2 linked regions of the Oryctolagus cuniculus genome follow. The protein of the gene in region 2 purifies or fractionates together with the protein of the main gene of each other region. This does not show direct contact. Links are inferred from orthologs where the notes say so. Each region holds a gene or a part of one and is shown on either strand. Other genes may lie near its edges.

Region 1 (9,991 bases), on a different chromosome or scaffold from region 2:
TCTGTCCACAACTCTACCTCTCAAATCAAATCTTTAAAAAGGCTCCTCCTTAATGCACAGGAAAAATGTCCCAAGTTCTTGCACCCCTGTCACCCATGAGGGAGACCCAGAAGAAGCTCCTTGTTTCTGGCACTGGCATGGCCCAGCCCCAGTCATGGCGGCCATTTAGGGAGTGAGCCAGCGGATGGAAGATCTCTTCTCCCCCTCTAACTCTACCTTTCCAAAAAATAAATCAGTCTTTAGAAAAAAAAGTATGCTGCTCAAGCCATTAGTCATAACTCAAACAACCATAAAGGAACAAAAGCAAATTTAGACTCTGCCTACTGTTACTATTCTCTAAAACAGAATGAAAATAACAAGAAAAGGTTTTGAATGCCTGCAGATAGTTAATGAAATCAGACATTCATGAACTTGCAGTACTCAATGTAAACTTTACCTAGCAACATTCCACTTGTGGTTAGCGACCAGCCAATCCGAACTTCATGTATGTCTATATCTTTTGTATATAAATGCCTTACAGGTATCTTCTCTGTAACCTGAAAGTTAAGTCATTATATCATTAACTGTAAACCAAGGTAGGTAGGTTATTTATGTGCCTGGTTTATCTCACTTGGGCTATGGGTACCTAAAATTCTTCTCTAGCTATTTATACAAAGACAGGACACCCAACTCTACCCCACTCCCAGTATTTTCCAATTGATGTAAGGGCTTATAACTTAAAATTAAATACTTGGTTGATTTAGATTTTTAGAACAATATTTTTAAATTACATTCTCAATTGATGTTTTTCTCATAAAACCAACACTCTAACCAAAAGAAATTTTAACTCTTTGGTGGCCCTTTTCAAGGGCCTCATATAATGGAGTGCCCTAAATAATGTATGGGCTGGCTCTATAGGGCAAATTCTGATAAATAAACTTGCTTCACTATTACAAAATGAAGGTTCCAGAAACCTCACAACATTGCATTTACCTTCATCTCAAAACAGACTTTGCCTTTTGACACACCATAAGATGCCCTTCCTCCAGCCCAAAGAAAGGCAAAGCTCTCCATAGTAAGCGAAGAAGCACTGAGGCGATCTCTTGATATTTTAAAATGTAGATCACAATTATCTGCAATTATATTAAATACCATATTATTCTTTTGACATCCAATGGAAATCTATTTGCTATGTAGACAAAACTTGGATGTTAAATTTTTTTCATGTACTTCTTAATGCTGCAGAAAACAGTTTTTAACACCATGCTGTTTTCCCAATTTTCCGTGTAAGCCCCACTCCCACCATTCTTATCAAATTAAGTACTAAAGAGTAAACTGCCTATAAACTAAGGCTTAATGTCTTTAAGAATATAAAACAAGACATGTGACATGGATACATACCTGCTCTGCTCTTTACCTTGATTTAGAGGCACGCAGTAGAGGATAGCAGGAAATCAAAGTGAAGCATGCCAGAACCAGGTAGAATTTACCAGTGCCACAATAAAACTGAAGGGAGGCCACGGCCAAATATTTGAACATAGGAGTATGAGCTGTTGATCCCGTACTTTAACACTAGGCTCCTAAGTCCTAAATTATTTTCTAAATCTTAGGAATAAGGCAAGGCAGCCTCAACTTGGAATATACAAATCTGGTCTTCTAACACTGTCAATATTACAGCATTTTGGTCTTGTGTATTTGTGTATTAGCAACAATTAAGGATTAAGCTCTTAATCAGGTCATCCAAATCCAAAGCATCTTTAATCTAGCTACCTCTGGGTCACGTGAGGGACAGCTAAAGTCAAGGTAGAAAGCTGGCTCTTTTCCTTTTTACAGGACAGGAAACCTACAGTTCGGAACTTTTAAATTAGCTTTGCTCCTGAAATTCCTGATCACTGATAGAACTATGATTTCAAGAAGCTGTTGTTGCTCCTGTAATCAGTGCTTCAGCATCTTGGTAACTGCTAGTAACTTGAAGCAACTGATTTTGACATCAAAATTTCAAGCCACCTTTTCCATATGCATTTTTTTCCCAAAGACTCAACTCTTAACTACCTGTACAGGGTATTCAAGTAAGAAATCAGAGGTATCACCATTTATCACCTGAATCAACAATCTGTACAAGGAAGCATCCGAATCTAACTTCCGCCTTACCAGAGCAACTTGACATTTTAACTTTTCAAGTACGATTTCTACTCTTGGTTCTATTTCACACTGGAAAGACTGGTGCATCCTATTCTGATCAAACGCTAACCCAACGTAATTTAAGTAAAATCTGACAGCCACGGCCCATTTAAAGGTTTGCAATAATTCCGCATACTCGATTGCAACCCAACTGGGTAACGTAGTATTTACAGTGCTGCCATTGATACCATTCGCTGCTGAAGAAAGCTAGTGGCCCAGTGATGGCCCACTGCTGCTGCCCCAGGTCTTTGGAAGAAATCAACTTATGTTAAAGCAGCAGCTACTGAACTGGAATTGAGAACAAAAGAGCAGTTATTGAAATAGTATTACAGTCTTTTAGAATAGGGAATATACTTGAGTGCTAATGGGAAAAGTCATCAGTTAAGTATTTAACCAGCCCAAGTAGCTGACTTAACAATCCCAAAATAAAAGGAAATTACTGTAGGACACGTTAACAGTTTCCATTAGCTAACTAGTCCAAAATTGGCATCAATTTCACATTCAAGAATAAGAAGCTTTAAATTACAATTAAAATTGCCAAAGCCTGTAAAATCAATTCAACACAACTGATGGCATATTAATATTAAACTACTGCACTCTGGGTATCAATCATTATCTTTGCTTTTTAGAAAACTGTACATGTTTTCTGCACTTAGGTTAAACGTACTGCAATCTAACATTGTCAAAAAAACCCAAGGCATTTGAGGACTGCGTGGGGGAGCGGGTGAAACAGCTTCACTTACAAGTATCAAGACAAACCACTGTGTCATCGAAGTGCTCATCTTCTTCTTCAACGGGGGGCTGAGGAGATTTGGCTCTGAAAGACAGAATGGGCTCCTGATACGTCTCTGCCCACCCACGGAGAACGGGCAACAACAACGCACAATCCGTTAGCATCCTCTACCTGCTGTACTTGTTCTCTTCAATGTACTCAAAATATCCACGGCCATGATCTTCTCGAGGTCTTTTTACACCTCGCTTTTTATCTCCGCCTTTCTGCTCTGTTTTGCCGTCTCCTATAACACACGACACTCTCATAAGTGCTCAAGCCACCCAACACCCCCGCCAAAAGAAAAAAAAGCCGCTTTTATTTCAAGTTGCCTAAAAGCATCGAATTAATGAGTTTTGGGTGAATACTGAACCGCCAGGTCGAATGTGAATTCAAACTATCAGCTTGGAATTGGATTGGAGTTAGTGACGCAGCCTAAAGACGTTACTAATTCGGCCCGTCTACCGGAGGCTTCAAGAAAGCTTAAGCGCAACTGCGCGCCGGAGGCCCCGAGCCCACGTGGATCCCGACGAGCGGTCAGGAGGGGGAGGGGCGCGGGGGCGGCGGCCCCTCCCCCACCCGGGCCCGCGCAGCCCGCGGCCGCATTGTACGGATCTTCCGCCCCGCTCGGCGCGCCGGCTCCTCCCGCCGGAAGTGACGTCACGCCGAGCCCCTGCGCTCCTTGCACAATACCGCGGCGAGGAGCCGCCAAAGCGCGCCCGCCCCGGGACCTCGGGCCTCTCCCCTCCCCCCGCCCTGAGCCATGTGCCCGCACCGCGCGCACACACAGCGCGGCGGCGCCACCGCGGGCCGACGGGGCTCCTCCCCCCCTCCCGCGGCAGCTGCAGCTCCCCCGCCCCCACCCCCGCCCCGGCTCCCGAGCCACATAATGGAGGCGCTGCCACCGCCGTCACACACGCACACGCACACACACACCCCGAGCCCCAGGCCTCTCGGCTAATCTGGGATTCCCCGCACCCCTCCCTCCCCCCACCGCCGCCCACCCAGCCACCAGCGGGGGGCTCCGGCAGGCCGGGGGCCCGGTCCCCACCCCACGCGGGCCTCCCGCCGCGCGCAACGTACAACGCAGCACTCACCCGCCGCCGGAGCCCCGGGGCGACCGCCTCCTCCGCCGCCTTCCGCCTTCTTCTTACCTCCCGCCTGCTGCTGGCCCTGCCTCGCCCCGGGCGGCGCCACCGTCACCGCGAACAGCGAGGTGGGGCCGCTGCTCTTCCCCGCGGCCTCCTTGGCCGCCCCGCGCTGCTGCGGAGGCTGTTGCTGCGGCGCCGCCGGCGGTTGAGGCTGCTGCTCCCCGTGCCCGTTCTCGTCGCCCGCGCCCTCCTCCTCGTCGCCGAGCTCGTCCTCCCCTTCCTGGAAGCCCTGATCATCGCCGTTCTCGTCTTCCGAGGCGGCCTCCTCCTCCTCCATCGGGCCCGACTCGGCCGCCCCCGCGGCCCCGTTCTCCTCTCCTAGCTCCATCTGGTCGCCATCCAGGGCGGCGATCCCTTCCTCCTCCTCTTCCTCCTCCTCCTCGTCGTCGTCGCCGCCGGCCGCGGCCTCCTGCTCGAGGCCTGCTCCCGAGCGCCCGGCGGAATCCCCGCCCAGGTCTAGGCTGCCGTTCCCGGGCTCCATGGCGGGGCGGCCCCCGGCCTCCTCGTCGTCCAGCGCAGCCTGGAGTCGCTCCATGAGCTCGGCCTTGAGGCCCTTGTCGGAGAGGCGCCGCTTCTTGAGCTCCTCTTTCAGCTCAGACACCTTCAGCTTTTTTACATTAACAGGCGAGGAACTCATGATGAGGGCCCCGATTCGCGGCAGGGAGCTTGGCTCGGACTGGGCTCCGCTCACTCGGCCACTGGTAGCGGCTGCTGCGGCTGCTCCTCGGTCCGGGCGGCGGCTGCGGCTGGAGGTGGGTTCGTGCTGCAGAGAGGACCCGCCTGGTGTCGAACGGCGCCAATTCCTTTCACCGAGTTCGCGAGGGAGACGCGGAGACTCGCCTGGCGCGAGCGAGCACGCAACGTCCTCTCGCAGGGGCGGCGCCGCGCACGTAATATAGCCGCCCCGCCCCCCGCGCTGACGGGCGCGCCGCGCAGCAGGAAGGCGGGAGCGCGCTCGCGCTCGGCCCCGCCCAGCACCGTCCCTGCCTCCCCGCCCCCACGCCGAGGCCCGGGTCGGGAGCGCGGCACAGGCCGCGCAGTGCGCTTCCTATTGGGTGCCGAGCAAATGGAGGAGAAGGAAACCGCCTTTCGGTTTAACCGGCCCGCTGCAAAGTCCACTGGGTTTCTGCCGAGGGAGCTCGTTCTGCTCTTGGCCTCCCAGCCTGGGCGGCTGCTCGGCTTGAAATGCTAGCAGAGCTCAGCTTGGCGTTTTCAGCTCGAACCCCTCCACCTTTTCTTCCATCTTAGTATTGCCGTCCTGGGTGCCCCTCCTGCTATACCGTTTTAAAACGCCTCGGGATTTTATTTCCGCTCTGGCTTGTCTAACCCAGCCTGGCAGTCAGCACACGGAGAGTTGGTTCGTCCCTTCTTCCCCCCCTCTCCCCCCCCACCTCCGGCCTCGTATCTCCTTTCATTTTTCTAAGCCGGCCTGGCGAATGGCCTTTTAAATTCGGGAAGCCTTTCTTTTGTGTCTTCGGCAGCCCCCGGTGCGGGGCCTGGGAAAGCGGCTTCTCCCCTCCTCCGGTCTGCATCCGCAAAGCGCGCTCTTCGCGGCAGCCACACGCATGGCGTCAGTGGCCTTGCAGAGGCCTCTGTGGGGCCTGATGTTTGTCATTCAGGCCCGGGCGTGCGGTGAGGAGGGCGAAGCGCAGCTAGGACCTGCCACCCGTGGATTTTCTCCCTGTCCCCGCGGGGACCCAATGGTGCCCAAACCAAAGGCTCCTGAGATGGAACAGGGCGACAGTCTGGCAGACGGGCCATGAGAGACCTCGCTCTCAAAAAGAAATCCGTGATTGGATCGTGGTTGAAGTTTGAGAGTGGCAATCCGGGGTAGCATCCTAATCCCCCAGCGTCCCCACAGTGCCAGGCCAGCGATCCCCGTGGGAATGAGGAAAGAGACCTGCTGCACAAAAAGACTGCTGTGCTATTGATTTGAAATGTGGAAGTACAGAAATGCAAATCTTGTCCCGTAGGCTGAGGTGATGTAACTGATCCACAAATGTTCGTTTTTAAAAGCTGCTTTTCAACAGTTTTTAAGAAATGTGTCTTACCCTGTATTCAGGCATAAGGTGAAATACTGACATCCGTGAGATTATTTGAGTTGAGATTAATAGTGTGCAGTACTGGTAATCCTCAAATTAACAGAGGGGACTAGGACAGCCCGGAAGTAGAAGCGTCCAAATAGTGTCAGAAATTCACTTGGCCTTTGGCTATGTTGCTGAAGCTTGCCAACAAGCCACAGACGAATTTGAACTCTTCCTTGCTCTCATTCAGAATTGGGAAGAGAGCTGCAGGGGGCTTCGATGTTCTCCAACTGGGTAATTAATGAATCAGAGTTAAGTGCAATTATGTCGATGGTCCTCTAATGTGTATGTGTCCTCAGATTTAATTTATGTTTTTAAATTTTAGTCAGAAGGAAACAATTTCCATTTAACACAGAAAAAACTATGAAAACCAAGCTTATATAAGCATAATAGAGTTTTACATTGTTCTTAGATGATTATTAAACCATTTATATTAATAAATGAATTACTACTTCTGGTACACATGAGAAGTTTCCATGACTTCATCTCCCAGAGCTTTGCAGAGGGTTGAGAGTTGGATGGGTCAGATCACCCCCAGCCTGCTCGTTTTAGAGCTGTGGCATAGCTAAGTCACCTTCTGCAACAGTGGCATCCCACTGGGGTTCTGATTCAAGTCCCACTGTTCCCCTTCTGATCCAGCTCCTTGTTACCCGCCTGGGAAAGCAGAAAGATGGCCCAAGTACTTGTGCCTCTGCACCCACATGGAAGACCCAGATGGGGCTCCTGACTCTTGAATTTGGCCTGGCCCAGCCCTGGTTGTTGCAGCCACTTAGGGGACTGAACCAGCAGATGAAGATCTCTCTCCCTCTCTTTCTCTCTTTCGAATAAATAAATCAATCCTTTAAAAAAAGGAAATGAGACCCTCACTCTCATCCCAGTGCTCCTTTAGACAAAATTTGAAAGAAAAACGGTTGCTCTAAATGCCCAGAAAACCATCATCTCACCATCTGTCCTTTTTACAAACAGCGGAAGTCTCTCGGTCCATATTTCATCACTTGGTTGGGGCAGACGTGGCACAGCAGTTAAGATGCCACTTGGGATGACTGCGCCCCATATCAGAGGAGCTGGGTTCAGGTCCCAGCGCTGGCTTCCATTCCATTTTCCTGCTCATTTACACCCTGGCCCGTATCAGGTGGGAGCTCAAGTAACTGGATCCCTGCCACCCGCATGGGAGACCTGGGTTGAGATTCTAGCTCCTGGCTTTGGCCTGGCTCAGCCAGGAATGTTGTGAGCATTCAGGGAGTGAACCAGCAATGGGAATCGGTCTGTCTCTTTTTCTGTCAGTCTCTCTGCCTCTCAAACAAGTGAAATTTTAGGGGCCGGCACTGTGGCATAAAAGGTTAAGCCTCTGCCGCATCCCCTGGGTCCCTGCGCCCACAGGGGTGATCTGGCTGAAGCTCCTGGCTCCTGGCTTCAGCCTGGCCCAGCCCTGGCCATTGTGGCCATTTGGGAAGTAAACTAGTGAATGGAAGACTTCTCTCTTTCTCTCTCTCTTCTTCTCTCTATCTCTGCCTTTCAAATAAATAAATAAAAGGCCGGCGCCGTGGCTCAATAGGCTAATCCTCCACCTTGCGGCGCCGGCACACCGGGTTCTAGTCCCGGTCGGGGTGCCGGATTCTGTCCCGGTTGCCCCTCTTCCAGGCCAGCTCTCTGCTATGGCCAGGGAGTGCAGTGGAGGATGGCCCAGGTGCTTGGGCCCTGCACCCCATGGGAGACCAGGAGAAGCACCTGGCTCCTGGCTTCAGATCAGCACGGTGCGCCGGCTGCAGCGGCCATTGGAGGGTGAACCAACGGCAAAGGAAGACCTTTCTCTCTCTGTCTTTCTCTCTCACTGTCCACTCTGCCTGTCAAAAATAAAAAAAAATAAAAAATAAATAAAAAATAAAAATAATAAATAATAATAAAAATTTTAAAAGAAAGTAGAAGTGGTGATTAATTGTAGTAATTTTTTTTTTTTGCTTCTTATAGTTTTAATGCTTTTGTGATAGTAACAAAAGGGGCCAGTCATCTCCTCTAAATCCCTGAGGGACCTATAAGGAACTTTAAACCCCCCCCCCCTTTTTTTTTTTTTTATTTTTTTTTTTTTTGACAGGCAGAGTGGACAGTGAGAGAGAGAGAGACAGAGAGAAAGGTCTTCCTTTGCCGTTGGTTCACCCTCCAATGGCCGCCGCGGCCGGCGCGCTGCGGCCGGCGCACCGCGCTGATCCGATGGCAGGAGCCAGGAGCCAGGTGCTTTTCCTGGTCTCCCATGGGGTGCAGGGCCCAAGCACCTGGGCCATCCTCCACTGCACTCCCGGGCCACAGCAGAGGGCTGGCCTGGAAGAGGGGCAACTGGGACAGAATCCAGCGCCCCGACCGGGACTAGAACCCGGTGTGCCGGCGCCGCCAGGCGGAGGATTAGCCTAGTGAGCCACGGCGCCGGCCAAACCCCCCCTTTTTTTAAGATTAATTTCATTACAGAGAAAGAGAGATCTTCCTTCTGCTGGTTCACTCCCCAAGTGGCCTCAATGGCCAGGACTGGGCCAGGCCAAAGCCAGGAGCCAAGAGCTTCTTCTGGGTCTCTGGGTGCGGGGGCCCAAGCACTTGGGCCATCCCCAGCTGCTTTCCCAGGCACATTAGCAGGGAGCTGGATGGGATGTGGAGCAGCTGGGACTCGATCGGTGCCCATATGGGATGCCGGCACCTCAATTCCATTCTTTGGAAATCTTAGAGATTACAAGAATGTAGAGTATGAGAGGGGACAAATTAACTCCCAGTAACGTGAAATATTTATCAAATTACCCATGGATAATAAACGTGAGAGGTGATAACAAAGTTACCATGTCCAGAATATGCCCCAAAAGAACAAACATAAATTCTGTACCGTGCCACTCAATGCGCTCGGCTGATACTGTTCCAGTACCTTCTCCAGCACAGGTCCTGGCCTCCCAGGGATACTGCTGTGAGCCATGGGACCATGCCTTTACTCTCCCTGGGAGATTTTCCCAGTTAATGAAGTAGAGATGATAGCCGTTACTGCAGAAAAATATAAGCTGGAAAGAGCCAGGGCTCACTGGGAGGCGTGAGGCACTTTGCAAAGTTTTCAGTTATCTGTGGGGTGGTCAGGGTAGCCATTCACAGTTGGATAGGATGAGTAAGTTCCAGGGATCTACTAGCCAACACAGTGCCTGCAGTTAACACTGAGATGTGACGCACCTAGAAATGTGTTAAGAGTATAGATCTTGGGTTGAATGTTCTTGCCCCTAGAACAAGAAGAAAGACCATGGGAACAGGGGGAGGTAATGGATATGAGCCTCATACTGATTGCCATGCTGGTAACATGGGTGTATATATACGTTCAAAGTCACCCACTGTACACGTTGATCGTGTGTAGCTTCCGGGCACCTGTATGTCTCAATGCAGCTGTGGGGGGAGTGGCAAAAGGAGCAGTCTGAGCAAACACCCAGAAGGGGTGGACGGAACAGCAGATGCCAGGGCTTGGGGGAATGACGCTATGTGAGAGGGTCCTTCAAGAAGTTCATGGACATGGAATTAAAGGATGTCGCACATTTCCATGAACTCTTTGAACACCCTCATACAATTGCCAGCTTCCACGTTGGAGGGTTGGTAAGGACTTCGGCTTGTGCCTCCTGCTGTGTACGGAATGCTGCATCCTAGCAAACTTCATGTTGAAACCTCACCCCTCTGTGGCGGTATTAGCAAGTGGGGCCTTTGGAGACCATTAGGTCACGAGGGTGCAGATTCAGGAATGAGATAAGCACCCTTACCATGGGTAGAACAGACCAGAGGTCACTTCCTCTACCACGAGAGGACACAGCTAGATGGCA
Region 2 (9,853 bases):
GCCATTGGTTCACCCTCCAATGGCCGCCGCGGCCGGCACGCTGCAGCCGGCGCACCACACTGATCCAAAGGCAGGAGCCAGGTGTTTATCCTGGTTTCCCATGGGGTGCAGGGCCCAAGTACTTGGGCCATCCTCCACTGCACACCCTGGCCACAGCAGAGAGCTGGCCTGGAAGAGGGGCAACCGGGACAGAATCTGGCGCCCCGACCGGGACTAGAACCCGGTGTGCCGGTGCCGCAAGGCGGAGGATTAGCCTATTGAGCCGCGGCGCCGGCCAGTATTATCACTTTTGAGCAGCATATATCTAGGTCATTTTTCCCCCAAAGTGTAAATTTTGTCTTTTTAAATCTGGTATTTTACAATTCTGTTGAGTTTTTATTTATTCCTACTGTTATACTGAAACTCTCTACCATGATTTTCCTTTTAACTCCTTTCCTGCTTTCTATTATAGAGTTCCGCTTTTCTTCTGCTTTAGAATTTATATTCAGCTTCTTTTACTCAGTTATCATACATAATTTTTCTGAATATATTCAGTTTTTAACATGTATTCCTGAGAAAGTTAAAAATTATATTCAGATGCCAGCATTGTGGCACAGCAAGCTAATCCTACATCTGGATGCTCCATTTTTGATCTAGCTCCCTGCTAATGTGCCTGGGAAAGCCACCCAAGTGCTTGGGCCCCTGCCACCAGTGTGGGAGATAGGGATGCAGTTCCAAGCTCCTGGCTTAGCTTCGACCAGCCTTGGACATTTTAGTCCGTTTGGAGAGTGAACCAGCAGATGGGAAGATTTCTCTGTCCCTGTCACTCTCCTCTTCAAATAAAAAAATAAAATTTCTTTAAAAAAATTTTTTTAAATTATCATCAGGGCTGGCACTATGGCATAGCAAGTAAAGCCACTGCCTGCAGTGCTGGCATCCCATATGGGTGCTGGTTTGAGACCCGGCTGCTCCACTTCTGATCCAGCTCTCTGCTATAGCCTGGGAAAGCAGTAGAAGATGGCCCAAGTCCTTGGGCCCCTGTACCCACGTGGGAGCCCTGGAAGAAGCTCCTGGCTCCTGGCTCCTGGTTTTAGATAGGCTCAGCTCTAGCCATTTTGGGGAGTGAACTGGCGGATGTAAGACTCTCTCTGCCTCTGCCTCTTTGTAACTTTGCCTTTCAAATAAATAAATATTTAAAAAACAATTTTAAGCATTATCTTCAACACCCACTGAAATTTAAAGACTTTAATACTCCAACGCCAATCATAGTTTTTACCCATAATTTTGCTTCACTTCTTTCTGAATCTCTAATCATTATAAAATTCAATGTCTTACAGTCAGTACTGGCTTATTTACAGTGTTTCCTCACTCAACGTTGTTTTTGAACCCCATTTTCTGGATTTAATTTTATTTATTCTTTCTGCAAAGGCCTGAAAGATACCTAGCCCCGTTACAACCTGCATGCAAAATTTAAGGCTAACCACTTTTTCCTCAAACTGAGGACCATTTAATTACTTCCAACTTTTAAGAAGCCTGCTACCAATCTTAAACTGTTCCGTAATTTGTTAGGTTACTGGTATTCCATAATCTGCAGTTTCACAAAAACTTATCTAGATATGAATTTATTTTTGTCTCATGTTTGCACCTAGTGCTTCTTGATTCAAAATGTTCATCTATTTTGGAGAATTAACTATTGATTCTTCCCCAACTTTCTCCTTCTCAATCTACTATTAGATACATGACAGGACTTCTCATTCTATTTCCCATGTTTCCCAAGCTTTTACTTTCACCTCTTTATCCTTCTAAATTGGATTTTAAAGGACAGATCACATAACCTACATCTAGAAATCTATAATCATTTCTTCTGCTAGATCTGCTGTTCAACTTATCCACCTTTTCCAATTCTAGAAGTTATACTTGGTTCTAAAATTTGAGGCCTTTTTTGGTAACATCTTGGTCTTAGGCTTGTTTCCTCCTTTCAGGTTTTTCATAATTTGAAACATAGAACTTATGTGCAATCCTGTTTATCATTAACTTTGGTGAACTGTTTCCTAAAGTTTTGTGATTTCATTTACTGTGAATGCTTTTCTTTTTTTTTTTTTTTTTCTGAGAGTCCTTGTAATCTAAGCTGTAAAATTTCCTCCATAAAAGGTTTTTACCAAGAACCCCAAAGTTATCATCAGCCCAGAAACAATTTTTATGTCAACCTGTCTTAAGGCTTCTTGGAGGCTAAATACCCAAATTGTGTGAAGCACCTGTCCAAGTTACAAATTCTCAAGAGACTTTTCATTCTGCCTCCAGGCTTCCCTTTTTATCTCTTATTCTGTTAGGAAGGTTTTGTTTTTTTTTTTTTTTTGTCCATTCCTACACTGAGATGATAGTCCTTCAAACTCATAATTCAGAAACCCAGGATTTCGGCTGGCGCCGCAGCTCACTAGGCTAATCCTCCACCTTGCGGAGCCGGCACACCGGGTTCTAGTCCCGGTCGGGGCGCCGGATTCTGTCCCGCTTGCCCCTCTTCCAGGCCAGCTCTCTGCTGTGGCCAGGGAGTGCAGTGGAGGATGGCCCAGGTACTTGGGCCCTGCACCCCATGGGAGACCAGGATAAGTACCTGGCTCCTGCCATCGGATCAGCGCGGTGCGCCGGCTGCAGCGCGCTGGCCGCGGCGGCCATTGGAGGGTGAACCAATGGCAAAGGAAGACCTTTCTCTCTGTCTCTCTCTCACTGTCCACTCTGCCTGTCAAAAAATAAATAAATAAATAAAATTAAAAAAAAAATAAAAAGAAACCCAGGATTTCAGGGTCTCTGTTCCCATGACCTGGCTCAATGGGGCTCAAGATTTCATCTCCTGTCCTTACATATTACCTTGTCAAGAACATCCATGTCTCTGCATGATGAGACCTACACCCTACTCTCTAGGGCAGCTGCAAATTTAACTCCATTCCCTTACCATGCTGGCTTGTACTTCGTTTTTGCCAGTGGGAGCTTGCACTTTTTTTGCTATGTTTTTTATTGGGGGGGGGGGGTAGTCTGTAAATATGAAAATTATCCTGGTCTAACACATCACCAGAATGACAAGTATCTTTATTTTGTAATTTTTAGTATGTGCAACTGGCATTATTTCACTTGTGATTTTAATGAGATAACTCACATTTGTAAGCAGTATCTGAATGCCAGGCTCAGATTTGTAATATTTATAATTTTGATTTATTTATCAACTATTTAAGTGCTTGTATTTTACTGGGTTTGTAAGTCTGCCCTGACAGACATTCAGAGTGGTTAAGTTGATCTGATGGATTAAATTTACAAATGTAACCTGGAATGTTTAAAGGATTTAACTTATTGATGGCATTAGCTATTTAGGGGTAGTTCAATCTTTTAATTTTATTAACATAAACATTCAACAAAAAAACAAGACAAAAGTATTATTTTATACAAAGTCAAAGTAGTACTTTTACAGAAATAGTTCAGAATGTATAAATCGTATTACAAGTAGAACTTAGATTCTAGTTTTAATTGAATGTTAAGAAATAAGCATCTACTAAATAGTACTTTTCACAAGAAAGCCAATCTCAGTACTTCTTTAAAAAACTAAAATTACAAAGCAGCAATTAACTAGCTGATATCTCAGTCACATGAAAATCACTAAAGGAGTAAATCAGCTCTACTATGATACATGGAAAGCCTGAATTTTACAAACTGCAAACTCCTAAAACTACCTAGTACTACAAAAACAAGCCACTGTTTATACTAAGCCTGCTAAAATCAGAACAGGCCAAAAGTTCTTAATAAGCAATGTATACATTGAAACTTGGTCAATTTCTTCATGACGGCAGGATTTTTAATTTTCTTAAACTACTGGTAAATTACACATCCTCCTTGGGAGCCTTACCAGACTTCCTCCCAAATTATGCAGCTGATGAAAGGTGTACCAATGTCTACTTTGGAAGTTATTCGTTGTTTGAGGAAGGATTAAACAAATTGAAATCAAGAGGTAAGTTCAGTGGTTTATCCCCTCAAAAAGATCAATATTCTAGCTTTTTAATATCAACGTTAACCTAGAAGAAACGTATCATTTTCCTGTCCAATTCTTCTTGCTAACTTAGATTCCTCAGACTGTCCCTTTTCTTTGGTCACACCATTCCATCCTTCTACATGACAATTACCGGGGCTTTCCTGTTTATTTCTCAAATACTGACAGGTTGCTCCTTAGAGCGTAATAGGCAGGCTCTACTAGAAGGCATACTGTACCCCAACCATATGGCTTTGGGAAAACGTGGTTTTGAGCCACAAAAAGTGACACCTAACGCTCCTGAGGGTTCCCAGCAAGTGGATCCCTTGGGTCCCTGTGTGATCAGCTAGGTCGGCTAAATCCAGAGGACCTGCACCTTCTTGACTTTTAAATTCTGGTTTAGCAGGATCCACACTGGCTGTCCTGGAGCGACTAAGGCTCCTTTCTCTCCTCCACACAACGGGTGGCCTCTGCCCACTTAACTGCTCGTCGGAGAAGCTGCTCTCCTCGTGGGCTGGGCGTCTGACGGGGCAATGCCACCAACACCTACGGAAGCTTATCACTAAGAGACGGGGCTCACTTCCAGCTCTTTCGGGGGACCAACAACTGGAGCGGGCGGTTAGGATGGCAGAGCGGGGCGAGGAGGAAGCTGACTGACAGGCCAAGACCCCCACTGCACTCGCGGCGGCTACGGCGGAGGGAACGGCGGCGTGTGAGGCAACGTCCTTTCAAAGGGCTCCCAGGGCGTCCAGGCCCCCACCTGAGGAACGGGTGAGTCAGGAAGGCCCAGCTCCACTTCACGGGTGGGGAAACTGAGGCAACGAGGCGGCGAGATGACTGGCCCGAGGCCTCGCTGAAAGATCTGAGGCGGAGCGGACAACCAGAAGCACCGATTCTCTCAGTCTGATGCTCTCCTCGCGGCTCCCCCCGCCCCCTAGGATGGCGTAGACCGCCTCCGCCCCCCGACTCACACACACCCTCCCCCGGGAGCGCAAGTCTCCTCAGGTTCCAAGGACACGGCCAAAAGGCAGGGGACCCGAAGCGCTCCCGCCGTGATTTGCAGCCAGAGAGCGTTGGGAGCGTGCGTGCCTCCAGCCCAACATGGCGGCGGCGCGTCCGCCCCCCCACCCCAAGCCTCCCTCAGGGCCGAAGGTTTTCCCTCGGGGCCCTCCGGTGGGCGGGAAGGCTGCCCAACCCCGCCAGGCCCCTTCTCGCCGCTGCCGCTGCTCGCTGACGGAGTCACCTACCCGACATGACTAACGGCCGCGGCGCGGAGCCCCCACAGCCCGCCGAGAACAAGGAATACCACAGCCAGGCGGCGCGGCGGCCGGAGCTGTTCTGAGGGCGGCGCGGCGGGCTGAGGCCGACTGCGGGGCCTCGGCAGCCAATCAGCGGGCAGTGGGCCGTACCACCCACCAAAGAAGGAGGGGTGGTTGTGCACCAGAATGGGCCTCCGAGCCCTGAGGACCTCTCTGGTCTCCCCTCCGCGGGCGGTACCATTATTGAGAGGGAACTGAGAAGAGAAAGTACCAATGCCACCTTGAGTACGGGGGAGGAGGCTGGACGTACTAGAACCGTCCTACTCGCAGTCCTATTCCTCACCTTGCTGGTTCAGATAGAATTCGAGGTTATGAAGCGAAACAGGGGGGACCTTATAAACTCAGACTGTTTGGTTAGAAAAGGCCTTTCTTCCTCTAAGATTTCGAATGGTTTGCCCTAGTTCTCTCCGTTCTCCGACCGAGAGCTCGGGCCACCTGGGGGCGTTCGGAGTGGACGAGCTGGATCCCGGGGACAGAAAGTCGTGACGAGCCGCTGGTACCTACCAGGTCACCTCACGGCTTGTTATGACTACCTTGCCGAATGGAAAACAAGAAGGTAGCAGAAACAGAGACGTGCGTGGAAACGAAATCACACGCAAACCTGACCCTGAGAACGTGGTGGGGCGGGGGATCGCGCTCAGATTTTCGGTACCATCGTACCGGCTAACACGTAATTGTCAGGCAGCCACCTTGCATCATCTCATTTAATTCTCACAACGGACTGATGAAACATCTTCCCGACGTTGCCGAGAAGGCAGAACTCATTTACCCCGGGTCTTGGAGCTTGCCAAGGGTGGCGATGGAATTTGAAACCTGGTAATCCTACACCGCTGTGTGTAGGTTCCACCATAACGCAGTACGGCCTAGAGGGGCCTTAGCTCTATTATAGAGAAGGCAAAGGGAAAGCTCAGCCAGCCAGCAGGGACATTTGCCCGGAAGGTGTGATATCTGAGCCTATCCCTAGGTGATGAGCAGAAGTTGACTGAGTGAAGGAATGAGCAAAAAATATTGCGGGCGTTTGGGGACAGAACCAGTGGCTACAGGATCCGCCATACCACCCATCCCTTTCACAGCTCTTCAAATAAATAAACCAGTTTTCAAAAAAATTTTTATTTATTCGAAAGACAGTTACAGGCCGGCGCCGAGGCTCACTTGGCTAATCCTCCGCCTGCGGCGCTGGCACCCAGGTTCTAATCCCGGTTGGGGCACTGGGTTCTAGTCCCAGTTGCTCCTCTTCCAGTCCAGCTCTCTGCTGTGGCCCGGGATGGCCAAGGTGCTTGGGTCCCTGCACCCGCAGGGGAGACCGGGAGGAAGCACCCAGCTCCTGGCTTCGGATCGGCGCAGCGCCGGCCATGGCAACCATTAGGGGAGTAAACCAACGGAAGGAAGACCTTCTCTCTGTCTCTCTCTCACTGTCTATAACTTTACCTGTCAAATAAAAAATTTTAAAAAAAATTAAAAAAAAGAAGAGTTACAGAGAGGGAGAGAGAAAGAGAGAGGTCTTCCATCAGCTGGTTTCCTCCCCAGATGGCTTCAACAGAGCTAGGCAGAAACAGAAACGAAGGCAGGAGCCAGTAGCTTCTGAGTCTCCCACACTTGGGCTATCTTCCACTCCTTTCCCAGGCACCAGATCAGCTAGGACAGAGACACAAATGGACACCCATATAGGATGCCAGCATTGCAGATGGTGGCTTAACCTTCTACCTGCTGCCACAACACTGGTCCACTTTGTTTTATGATTTTTGTTTTTTTAAAGATTGGTTTATTTTGGGCCAGCGTTGTTGCGTAGTTGGTAAAACTACTGCCTGCGACACCAGCATCCCATATGGGCGCATTGTCCTGTCCCAGCTGCTCCACTTCCAATCCATCTCCCTGCTTATGTGCCTGGAAAAGCAGCAGAAGAGGTGCTTGGGCCTCTGCCACCCTTGTGAGAGACCCAGATGTAGTCCCAGGCTCCTGGCTCCGGCTTGGCCCACCCCTGGCTGTTGCGGCCATTTGGGGAGGAAATCAGCAGATGGAAGATTATTTCCTGTCTCTCCCTCTCTCTGTACCTCTGCCTTTCAGATAAGTAAATCTTAAAAAAAAAAAAAAAAATGGGCAAAAGGACTTTCCAAACTGCTCATAGAACAAGTAAATCAATGTCTAGAGTAAACGCTCAAAGGAAGGATGGTAGGAGATAATGCCAGAAAAGCAGGAGCAAAATGGCTAGAGTCTTATGAAGTATGTTGGAATGTGGGCCTTATCATGAGGACAGAGTCACCAGAGGATTTTTTTTTAAGTATTTATTTATTTATTTGAAAGTCAGAGTTACACACAGAGAAAAGGAAAGGCAGAAAGAGAGAGAGAAAAGGTCTTCCATCCGCTGGTTCACTCCCCAATTGGCTGCAATGGCCGGAGCTGTGCTGATCAGGAGCAAGGAGCTTCCTCCAGGTCTTCCCACATGGGTACAGGGGCCTAAGGACCCGGGCCATCCTCTGCTGCTTTCCCAGGCCATAGCAGAGAGCTGGATCAAAACTGGAGCAGCTGGGACTCACACCAGCGCCTATGTGGGATGCTGGCACTGCGGGTGGCAGCTTCACCTGCTATGCCACAGCGCCAGCCCCACCAGAGGTTTCTAAAGAAGAGTTTAGGGGCTGGCATTGTGGCATAGCAGATTGGCTTGGGATGTCTACATCCCATATCCAAGTGCCAATCGGAGTCCTTTCCAATCCAGCTTCCTATTAATGTGCTTGGGAAGCAGCAGATGGTGGCTCAACTGCTTGAGTTCCTGTCATGCACATGGGAGACCTGGATGGCTCATGGCTCCTGGCTTTAGCCTGGCGCAGCCTGAGCTGTTGGGGAGTGAACCAGCAGATGAAAAACTTCTCTTCCCCACCTCCACCCCTATCACTCTGCCTTTCAAATAAATAAATATTTTTTTAAAGGAGGAGTAAGGTCAGATTTGTACTTTCCAGTTGCAGAATGAAGAACACTTAGAAACGAGGGATGCCTGAAAGCAGGGAGACCAGTGAGGTGGCCAGTGCAAAACGTTCCACTGACAGATAATAGTGCCCTGGACTTAGGTAGTAGCTGTGGAAGTGGAGGTGAATGAAAAGGTCCCAGATACCTAAGGAGTAGACTGGACAAGAGCCCAGAGAAAGGAGCCTGGTGAATTCTGGGTTCCTGACTTATGCAAGTGGCCAGAGGGTGGTGTCATTCACTGAGATAGGAAACATGGAGGAGGAGACTGGATAGAAGTGAAGGATAAGGTCAGGATTCATGCCTTCAGGTCAGAAGAAAAGGCATGAAGTCATCTTTCCTCACTATATGAGCCCTAATTGCCTCAATTCTAGATGGAGAGAGTCATAGAACCCTCTAGACAGGTCCAAACAAGCAAGGCTAAAGGAATAAAATTCTTCCATAACTAAAAACCATTTAACCATTTAGCATATATTTATTGAGGAAGGCAGCCTGGAGGAGACATTAGGCATGGCAGCGGCAGGACAAGAACTGGGTTGTAGAGGGAGGAAAGGGATCTTCCAGGCTGTTCTCTACCCCTCCCCCCAATTTATTTAGTTTGAAAAGAAAGCAGAGAGGGAGAGAAAGAGAGCAAGAAATCTTCCATCTGCTGGCTCACTCCCTAAATGGCCACAATAGCCAGGACAAAGCCAGGAGCTTGGAACTCCATCCTGGCCTCCCACATGGGTAGCAGTGCCCAAGTACTTGGGCCATCACACTTTCTCCTTTCCCAGGCACATTGAGCAGGAAGCTGGATTGGAAGCAGAGCAGCCAGGACTAGAACTAGCACTCCAATATAGAATGCCTACATCACAAGTGATGTCTTAACCCACTGCACTACAATGCCAGCCCCTCTTTTTTAAATAATTTTTTAAGAAAGAAATACAGAAAGTACTGCACATCATTGCCTTCTTAAATTTTTACCACCATTCATTTATTCACTGTTCATTCAACTGCTTCCTCAGGAGGTTAACAATGCCACAGGCCTTGGAAAGCCCTGAAACATAGCCCTTGCCCTCCAAGAACCACAGTCTGATACCAGGGATTCCTACCAACTGCTGAACATGCTAAGATTGGAGGATGTGGAGGGTGCTGTGAAAACACAGAGGAAGGGCATCTTGCCCCCCATGAAAGGAGACTTTCTGCAGGTAGTGCCTCTAAAACTGGGCTCTGAAGCAAGGACGGGTTTAGCCAGTGGGGGCACACCAGGAATAGCACACTCGTCGCCTGCTAGGACTGGGGAGAAGCAGAGTTTTGGGAATTCTAGGTGGTTCAGTCCAGTTGAGGTGTGGAGTTGCAGGGGCGGAGAGTGGTGAGAAATGGAAATAAGAAGAAGGCAGCAGCCACGTCCTGAAGGGCCTGGGCATTCGATGACTGCAGCGGAGAACTTGTGAAGAATTTAAACACGTCTATGAAATAGCTTTTATCCACAGCTGGCAGACGGCAATGCTGAAGCTCAGGAAGGTGTAATTCTTTACCAAGTCATGCAACTAATTAGGGACACAAGCAGAACTCATACCCAAGCCTTTGGATCATGCTCTCCATT

Evidence for each region. The genes of interacting proteins can lie anywhere in the genome.
Region 1: the proteins of TAF15 (region 2) and HNRNPU purify together in Homo sapiens (affinity purification with mass spectrometry; 3 studies listed by BioGRID, with this or other methods). This does not show direct contact. The link is inferred for Oryctolagus cuniculus from reciprocal best matches to the Homo sapiens genes TAF15 and HNRNPU.

What each region holds. Positions count from the first base shown.
Region 1 is NC_091444.1:64,893,555-64,903,545, forward strand, and holds the start of HNRNPU (heterogeneous nuclear ribonucleoprotein U), read right to left. Parts: upstream 4,982-9,991; 5' UTR 4,718-4,981; coding exon 4,027-4,717; intron 3,177-4,026; coding exon 3,065-3,176; intron 2,978-3,064; coding exon 2,904-2,977; intron 1,113-2,903; coding exon 973-1,112; intron 537-972; coding exon 437-536; intron 1-436. UniProt on the Homo sapiens protein: DNA- and RNA-binding protein involved in several cellular processes such as nuclear chromatin organization, telomere-length regulation, transcription, mRNA alternative splicing and stability, Xist-mediated transcriptional silencing and mitotic cell progression.
Region 2 is NC_091448.1:38,796,277-38,806,129, forward strand, and holds the start of TAF15 (TATA-binding protein-associated factor 2N), read right to left. Parts: upstream 5,381-9,853; 5' UTR 5,246-5,380; coding exon 5,239-5,245; intron 1-5,238. UniProt on the Homo sapiens protein: RNA and ssDNA-binding protein that may play specific roles during transcription initiation at distinct promoters. Binds to ssRNA containing the consensus sequence 5'-AGGUAA-3'. Can enter the preinitiation complex together with the RNA polymerase II (Pol II).